Linked DNA regions of Callithrix jacchus. The protein of the gene in region 1 purifies or fractionates together with the protein of each later gene. This does not show direct contact. Links are inferred from orthologs where the notes say so. Each region holds a gene or a part of one and is shown on either strand. Other genes may lie near its edges. The genes, in order: HNRNPH2 and PLOD1.

The links.
Region 2: the proteins of HNRNPH2 (region 1) and PLOD1 purify together in Homo sapiens (affinity purification with mass spectrometry; 3 studies listed by BioGRID and IntAct, counting the BioPlex papers as one, with this or other methods). This does not show direct contact. The link is inferred for Callithrix jacchus from reciprocal best matches to the Homo sapiens genes HNRNPH2 and PLOD1.

What each region holds. Positions count from the first base shown.
Region 1 is NC_133524.1:97,712,581-97,716,353, forward strand, and holds the end of HNRNPH2 (heterogeneous nuclear ribonucleoprotein H2), read left to right. Parts: intron 1-961; 5' UTR 962-1,014; coding exon 1,015-2,364; 3' UTR 2,365-3,164; downstream 3,165-3,773. UniProt on the Homo sapiens protein: This protein is a component of the heterogeneous nuclear ribonucleoprotein (hnRNP) complexes which provide the substrate for the processing events that pre-mRNAs undergo before becoming functional, translatable mRNAs in the cytoplasm. Binds poly(RG).
Region 2 is NC_133508.1:49,818,019-49,822,626, reverse strand, and holds the start of PLOD1 (procollagen-lysine,2-oxoglutarate 5-dioxygenase 1), read right to left. Parts: upstream 3,100-4,608; 5' UTR 3,010-3,099; coding exon 2,934-3,009; intron 1-2,933. UniProt on the Homo sapiens protein: Part of a complex composed of PLOD1, P3H3 and P3H4 that catalyzes hydroxylation of lysine residues in collagen alpha chains and is required for normal assembly and cross-linkling of collagen fibrils.

The DNA.
Region 1 (3,773 bases):
GAACTGATCAACTGCTCCCTCCTTAATACTGTGCTTACACCTCACCCAGAGGGTCATGGCAATTATAATGTCTATTTGCATTTATGTCTTTAATAATTACATACAATCCCCCTGTAGGACCATAAGCCCTTTGTGGGCTTATTGATTCTTGTATGCTAGAGCCGAGTATTGGACTTGGCAACTACAAGATGTTTCTAAAATGAATGTGTGAATTCCCAATAATGTCTTTTTTTCATTTATCTCTGAAGCCTAAATATATCCCTGATTTTATTGATTTGCCTACATTTTTATATAAGGATATTATATAAAGAACTTATATAACTTGTGTTTTGTGTTTTAATTATTGTTTAATCTTTTGATCTAGTGAAGTTTTTTATGTTTATATATTCAGATATAGCCATCTTTTATTTGTTGACATCTCCCATTTATTTGTTGCTGTTAATTTTTTTTTTTTTTTTTGAGATGGGATTTTGCCCTGGTTGCCTAGGCTGGAGCGCAGTGGTGTGATCTTGGCTCACTGCAACCTCTGCCTCCTGGGTACAAGCAATTTTCCTGCCTCAGCCTCCTGAGTAGCCGGGATTACAGGTGCCCACCACTATGCCCAGCTAATTGTATCTTTAGTAGAGATGAGGTTTCACCACATTGACTAGGCTGGTCTCAAACTACTGACCTCAGGTGATCCACCTGCCTCGGCCTCCCAAAGTGCTGGGATTACAGATGTGAGCCACGGTGCCTGGCCAATTGCTGTTAATTTTTAATGGTATCCAACACGTAATAGGCATTGAATAAATAACTGTTAAAAAATGAATGAGTTAAAAATTTGGTGAATTCTTTTTTGTTTATACAGATGTCTTACAGCAAAGCTGTCAGCATAATTGAGTTTTCTATTAATAGTTTGCTTTTCTCTTTTACTGTATTAGCATTTTTCCATGACAGTAGTCTTCTAATTTTTTTTTTCCAGCTACACCAAAATTGTGTTGAGCCAAACTTGCCACCAAGAGCCCAACAGTCACCATGATGCTGAGCACAGAAGGCAGGGAGGGGTTCGTGGTGAAGGTCAGGGGCCTACCCTGGTCCTGCTCAGCTGATGAAGTGATGCGCTTCTTCTCTGATTGCAAGATCCAAAATGGCACATCAGGTATTCGTTTCATCTACACCAGAGAAGGAAGACCAAGTGGCGAAGCATTTGTTGAACTTGAATCTGAAGAGGAAGTGAAATTGGCTTTGAAGAAGGACAGAGAAACCATGGGACACAGATACGTTGAAGTATTCAAGTCTAACAGTGTTGAAATGGATTGGGTGTTGAAGCATACAGGTCCGAATAGCCCTGATACTGCCAACGATGGCTTCGTCCGGCTTAGAGGACTCCCATTTGGCTGTAGCAAGGAAGAGATCGTTCAGTTCTTTTCAGGGTTGGAAATTGTGCCAAATGGGATGACACTGCCAGTGGACTTTCAGGGGCGAAGCACAGGGGAAGCCTTTGTGCAGTTTGCTTCGCAGGAGATAGCTGAGAAGGCCTTAAAGAAACACAAGGAAAGAATAGGGCACAGGTACATTGAGATCTTCAAGAGTAGCCGAGCTGAAGTTCGAACCCACTATGATCCCCCTCGAAAGCTCATGGCTATGCAGCGGCCAGGTCCCTATGATAGGCCAGGGGCTGGCAGAGGGTATAATAGCATTGGCAGAGGAGCTGGGTTTGAAAGGATGAGGCGTGGTGCCTATGGTGGAGGGTATGGAGGCTATGATGACTATGGTGGCTATAATGATGGATATGGCTTTGGGTCAGATAGATTTGGAAGAGACCTCAATTACTGTTTTTCAGGAATGTCTGATCATAGATATGGAGATGGTGGGTCCAGTTTCCAGAGCACCACAGGGCACTGTGTACACATGAGGGGGTTACCTTACAGAGCCACTGAGAATGATATTTATAATTTCTTCTCACCTCTTAATCCCATGAGAGTACATATTGAAATTGGACCCGATGGCAGAGTTACTGGTGAGGCAGATGTTGAATTTGCTACTCATGAAGATGCTGTGGCAGCTATGGCAAAAGACAAGGCTAATATGCAACACAGATATGTGGAGCTCTTCCTAAATTCTACTGCAGGAACAAGTGGAGGGGCTTATGATCACAGCTATGTAGAACTGTTTTTGAATTCTACAGCAGGGGCAAGTGGTGGCGCTTATGGTAGCCAAATGATGGGAGGGATGGGCTTATCCAACCAGTCTAGTTATGGCGGTCCTGCTAGCCAGCAGCTGAGTGGTGGTTATGGAGGTGGTTATGGTGGTCAGAGCAGTATGAGTGGATATGACCAAGTTCTCCAGGAAAACTCCAGTGACTATCAGTCAAACCTTGCTTAGGTAGAGAAGGAGCACTAAACAGCTACTCTAGATATAAAAGCTGTACATTTATGGGAGTTGAATAGAATGGGAGGGATGTCTAGTATATCCAGTATGATTGGCATATGGGAAATATTATTGATACTGATCACTCTTGGTCAGCTTCTCTTTCTTTATCTTTCTCCTTTTTTAAGAAAACAAAAGTTAAGTTTAACAGTTTTGCATTACAGGCTTGTGATTCATGCTTACTGTAAAGTGGGAGTTGAGATTATTTTGAAACTTCAAGTTCAGTAATTTTGAACACTGAAACATTCATCTAGGACATAATAACAAAGTTCAGTATTGACCATAACTGTTTAAACGATTTTTAGCTTTTCTCAAGTTAGTTATGTTGTAGGAGTGTACTTAAGCAGTAAGCTTATTTAGGTTAATGCAGTTTCACTTATGTTAAATGTTGCTCTTATACCACAAATACATTGAAAACTTTGGATGCATGTTGAGAAACATGCTTTTCTGTAAAACTCAAATATAGGAGCTGTGTCTACGATTCAAAGTGAAAACATTTGGCATGTTTGTTAATTCTAGCTTTTTGGTTTAATACTCTGTAAGGCACGTGAGTGTACACTTTTACTTTTTTTTTTTTTAAAGGATACGGGACAATTTTAAGATGTAATACCAATACTTTAGAAGTTTGGTCGTGTCGTTTGTATGAGATTCTGAGGCTTTGGTTTAAATCTTTCCTTGTATTGTGATTTCCATTTAGATGTATTGTACTAAGTGAAACTTGTTAAATAAATCTTCCTTTTAAAAACTGGAAAAAATCTTGCTCTGATTTTTATTATGTTCTGTCATATGGGCACACTGATTTTATAATTCCCTCTTAAAAATTTTAATTTAAAAATTATATTTACATCTTTATATGTTCATTGTTGCATATATCATTAGTTATTTCTAAGATACATCCCTAGAAATGGGATTGCTGAGTCAAGGATATACCCATTTTTAAGGCTTGTGATTTGTGTTACCAGAAAGATTCTGGTACTTTATCTTTCTACCTAGAGGACTGTGTGTTTTATTTTTCCCCCTCATACCCTCCTTATTGATGTACGTTAGTTTTTTTGATCTTTGCCAGTTTGTTAGTTGAGAAATGATATCTTTGCTATTTTAATTTGTATTTCTTTGATTAATATTAAAGTTGAACATTTTCTTTAAAAAAAACTTATTACCATGTCTACAGGACTGTTGAACTACTTTTGGAGACTGTTCTTACCAATATAGTATTCTCTAAAATCCAAAGAAGTGAAAGCAAATAAATAATCCTTTTTATTTCACCACAAACTAGAAGGCACCTTTGTATGTTAAAAAAGAAGTAGGCTTACAATTATTATGTGTTGAAAACAAAACATAAAAATGAAGCAGGCTTATGTTAT
Region 2 (4,608 bases), on another chromosome or scaffold:
GGTCTCCCCAGCCCCAGCCCCACCCCGACACCATCCAGTGCAGCCTGACACCTGGGACCCTTCTGTTTTCTAGGTGGGAACCGCACCACCTGAACCCCCACCCCAGCCCTGCTGAGCCTCTGATCTCCACAGCTGTCTGTCCCTCACCGTGGCCAAACCAAGGCCTACAGGGAAAGGCAGGAGCTGGAGATCTGCTAGAAGTTTCTACAAATAGGACGAAGGGCTGTGGGACATCTGGCGTTGGCTCTAGGGACATCTGCCTGTTTGGATGATGCCTTTTATTCCCCCAGTTCCCTGTGATGGAAGATGTTGCTTTGTTGAAGGCTTCTTGTGTCTCCCACCTTGTTCTGGAAGCTCCCTCCCCCACACCAGAATGCACAATATCTCTTCCCTCAGACACGGGTGTCTACTGAGGTGAGGTGCTCTGTGCCCCCCTCTGATTGGGAGCCCCCTAAAAGTGAAAATGGTCCCTGTTTCTCTCCATGCACCAAGGCCATGGGTTTTGGGTGAGGGAAGAGACCCGCTGCCGACGGCACCCCACCCACCTCACTCCCCAAGACTCTACAGCAAATCCCGTTCCCCCCCAGCTGAATCCGCCTCAACAGCTGCCCTCCCATCCACCTGCCAGGGAAAGGGAGGAGCTGGCCTCTCTGGGGGCTGCTGGGGTGCCCCCCCCAAAACACACACACTAGTCAGTGAGCTGCTCAGGCAAGGCCTGCAGGGAAGATGAGCATTTCACTCTGTCCTCCCATCCAGCTGGCTGAAGGTCACACCTCAGCTGGGTCTGGGGGAGCTGAGCAGGCTCCCCAGGCAGCATTTCCAGGTAACAGCACCCCCCTCCCATTCAGAGGTGCAGAAATGAACAGTAGGTCTGAGTTCCAGACAATGCCCCCACCTCCAACCAGCTCTGGCAATGAGAGACCAGATGTTTAACCTTCCAGTGCCTCAATCTTCCCATCTCCAAAATTCGGTTGATGATTCCTTACTTATGAAAGGGATCCTGGCCGGGTGTGGTGGCTCATGCCTGTAATCCCAGCACTTTGGGAGACTAAGGTGGGCAGATCCCTCGCTTGAGGTCAGGAGTTCAAGACCACCCTGGCCAACAGGGCAAAACCCTGTCTCTACTAAAAATATAAAAATTAGCCAGACGTGATGGCGCATACCTGTGATCCCAGCTATGCAGGAGGCTGAGACAGGAGAATCCCTTGAACCTGGCAGGTGGAGGCTGCAATGAGCCGAGATCGTGCCACTGCACTCCAACCTGGGCAACAGAATGAGACTCCATCTCAAAAAACAAAAAAAAAAAAAAAAAGAGGCCAGGCATGGTGGTTCATGCCTGTAATCCCAGTACTTTGGGAGGCCAAGGTGGGTGGATCACCTGAGGTTGGGAGTTTGAGACCAGCCTGACCAACATGGAGAAACCCCCGTCTCTACTAAAAAATACAAAATTAGCCAGGCATGGTGATGCATGCCTGTAATCCCAGCTATTTAGGAGGCTGAGGTGGGAGAATTGCCTGAACCCAGGAAGGCAAGGTTGCAGTGAGCCAAGATTGCATCATTGCACTCCAGCCTGGGCAACAAGAATGAAACTCCATCTCCCCACCAGAAAAAAAAAAATGGGTCCCAGAACCTGGGATTCTTCTGGTGGTACAGTTCCAAGTTCTTCAGGAGGGTGGGCTGAAGGAGGAAGATGCCATGGAGGGTACTGCCAGTTCCGCTTGGCTTTGCTGGGACTGTCCATAGTCTGTGCCCTTCTTGGGACAGCCCTGGAGATGGCCAATGCCAGGGAGGGCTGAGGAGGTGGGCGGCACCCACTCAGGACAGTGGGACACATACTGCAAGCCAATCTGCCTTTAGGAAGTTGAAGGAGCACTAGACTGGAGTCCAGCTGACCTCGGACCAGCCACCTCTGGCTGGACCACCCTGGACAGTCACTTCACCTGTCTGGGTCTCTGTTTTCTCAAGTATAAACTGGAGGGAGGGCCAGGCGCAGTGGCTCATGCCTGTAATCCCAGCACTTTGGAAGGCCGAAGCAGGCGGATCACCTGAGGTCAAGAGTTCAAGAGCAGCCTGGCCAACATGGTGAAATCTTGTCTCTACTAAAAACACAAAAATTAGCCGGGTATGATGGCGCATGTCGGCAATCTCAGCTACTCGGGAGGCAGAGGCACAAGAATCACTTGAACCTGGGAGGCAGAGATTGCAATGAGCTGAGACTGCGCACTGCACTCCAGCCTGGGCGACAGAGCAAGGCTCCGTGTCAAAAATAAATTAATTAATTAATTAATTAAAATTTTTTTTAAAATAAACTGTATTGAGGAAGACCAGCCTGGCAGGGGCTGAGCACACCACAGGGGGCACGGGTGAAAGGGCAAACGACTCCACAAAGTGAGCTACACCTTCCACCCTATCCTTCCCTTGTCCCCTTTAAGACCCCTCACTCCCACAGTCATGAGGTTTCCTGGCTCTGGAAGCAGACGCCTGGGTGGGTGGCGTAAATCCTGGTTCCAAGGCCCACAAGTTGTGTGATCTTGGGCAAGTGAATGAACTCTGGAGCCTCAGTTTGCCCAGCTGGAAAACGGGGATAACAGAAAGAAACACGGGGTGGCAATCATGCCTAACGGATGCCTGGCCCACAATGAGCGCTCCGCAGAGTAGCCACTGGCCGTTGTTATTATGAGAACTATTATTATTTGAGCTTTTCTGTGCTGAATGGGACTCAGCTGTCACCCTTTCCTTCCCGAAGCAGGAACCGCAGCCCCAAGAGGGGAAGCGATTTGTTCAAGCCACCAGCAAGTAAGTGGACAAGGAGCCGGAACCCAGACTCCCTCCCCAGCCCAGGCCTCCCATTCAGGTCGTACCCAGAGAGACAGCCCCAGGACTGGCCCTCCCGCTGGGATCCGCGCTCCAGCCCCCGGCCTTCGCGCCCTCACCCTCCGGCTTGGCGTCGCCCTTCGCTTCGGCCAGGAGCAACCAGCCCAGCGGGGCCAGGAACAGCAGGGACCACATGGCCAGGTTCTGGGGACTATCGGCCGACCCGGCGGCGCTGGCAGGGCTGGAAACTTCGCGACGGGGCCGCAGGTCCCGCTGCCACGCACTGGGCCCGCCCCGGGGGCGGCACCGCCCCTCTCCGCCCCTCCCCGCCCTCCCCCGCGCCTGCCCCGGGGGAAGGGTTTTTCTGCAGACTTGCCCGAGCCCCGGCCTCTCCGAGCGCGGGCGGCTCCCTCCGCTCGTCGGTGCAGCTCCCGGGGCTTCCGCCTGGCCCTGCCTCCTCCCCCCTCCCTTTTCTGCGGGGGTTTACTGCGACCAGGAAAAAGGCTGTGAGAGGAGGGCGAGGCCACCATTTCTAGACCCCAGATTCCGCGCCAACGCTCCATGGCATCGATAGCCGTAAGCCTCGGTTTGCTAGCCCGAAAAGTGGGGCTTTTGATAGCATCTTTTCTTTGGGTCCTGCACGGGTTAATGGCGTTGCCTGTAGCGCACTTAGAGCAGCCCCAGGTCAAGCCCCAAGGAAGTCAGCTTTAATGATTTCAGCAGTCCTCCCCAAAACCCAAGGGGTGAGGGTGGATAGGGATGCGTTCAGAGACATGGACACCCCTCCGTGGTCCACCAGGACCGCTGGAAATGCAGAACGCACCTCTCCATTCTCCACCCCACAATCCCCAAAAGGCAATCACTTGATCTGCCTTAGTGTGCCTGGGAGGCAAACCTTTGAGCCAAAGAAAGTCTTGCTTCTGAGGCTTTTTTTTTTCTTTCCAGTTTTTGGAGACAAGATTGCGTTCAGTTGCCCAGGCTAGAGTGCAGTGGCGCGATCCCCGCTCTCTGCAGCCTCGACCTCCTGGGCTCAAGCGAGCGTCTCATCTCAGCCTCCGGAGTAGGTAGGATCACAGGCCTGAGCCACCACCCCGGGCTAATTTTTCTATTTTTGTGGAGATAAGGGTCTCCCTATGTTGCCCAGGCTAGTCGCGAACTCCTGGGCTCAAGGGATCTTCCTGCCTCCCAAAGTGCTGGGATTACAGGCTGAGCCACTACATCCTACAGAGAATAATTGTGAAATGAATAAACGAATCAATGAAAGTTTTTAGGGCCTCTTCACACATGCCCAAAGCCCAACAATGGTCTCTAGACTAGGCAAGGGTTCCTGGTCCAGATGTCAGATGGGGACAGCCACCTCTGAACAAAAATCCTCCCTTCCTTGGAAGAAATCTCAGACAGAGACCCAGGAGTCTTTTCCCAGCAGATTAGGCTCCAGAGCAGGGGGTGGTGGGTGCGACCCTAGGCTCGCAGGGGGTTTCCCTGCAGGGACAAAGGGGTGGGAGAGAAGGAATGTCACACATGTCCATGGACAACATAGAGGAGGCTATGCATCTGTGCTAGAAAAAGATATTAATAAATCAACAATCAAAAGATATTAATAAATCATTCAGATGGACTGGGTGCAGTGGTTCCTGCCTTTAAGCCCAGCACTTTGGGAGGTCAAGACAGACAGAACGCTTGAGCCCAGGAATTCAAGACCAGCTTGGGCAACATGGTGAAACCCTGTCTCTACCAAAAATACAAAAATCATGGCATGTGCCTGTAGTCCCAGCTACTCAGGAGGATGGCTGG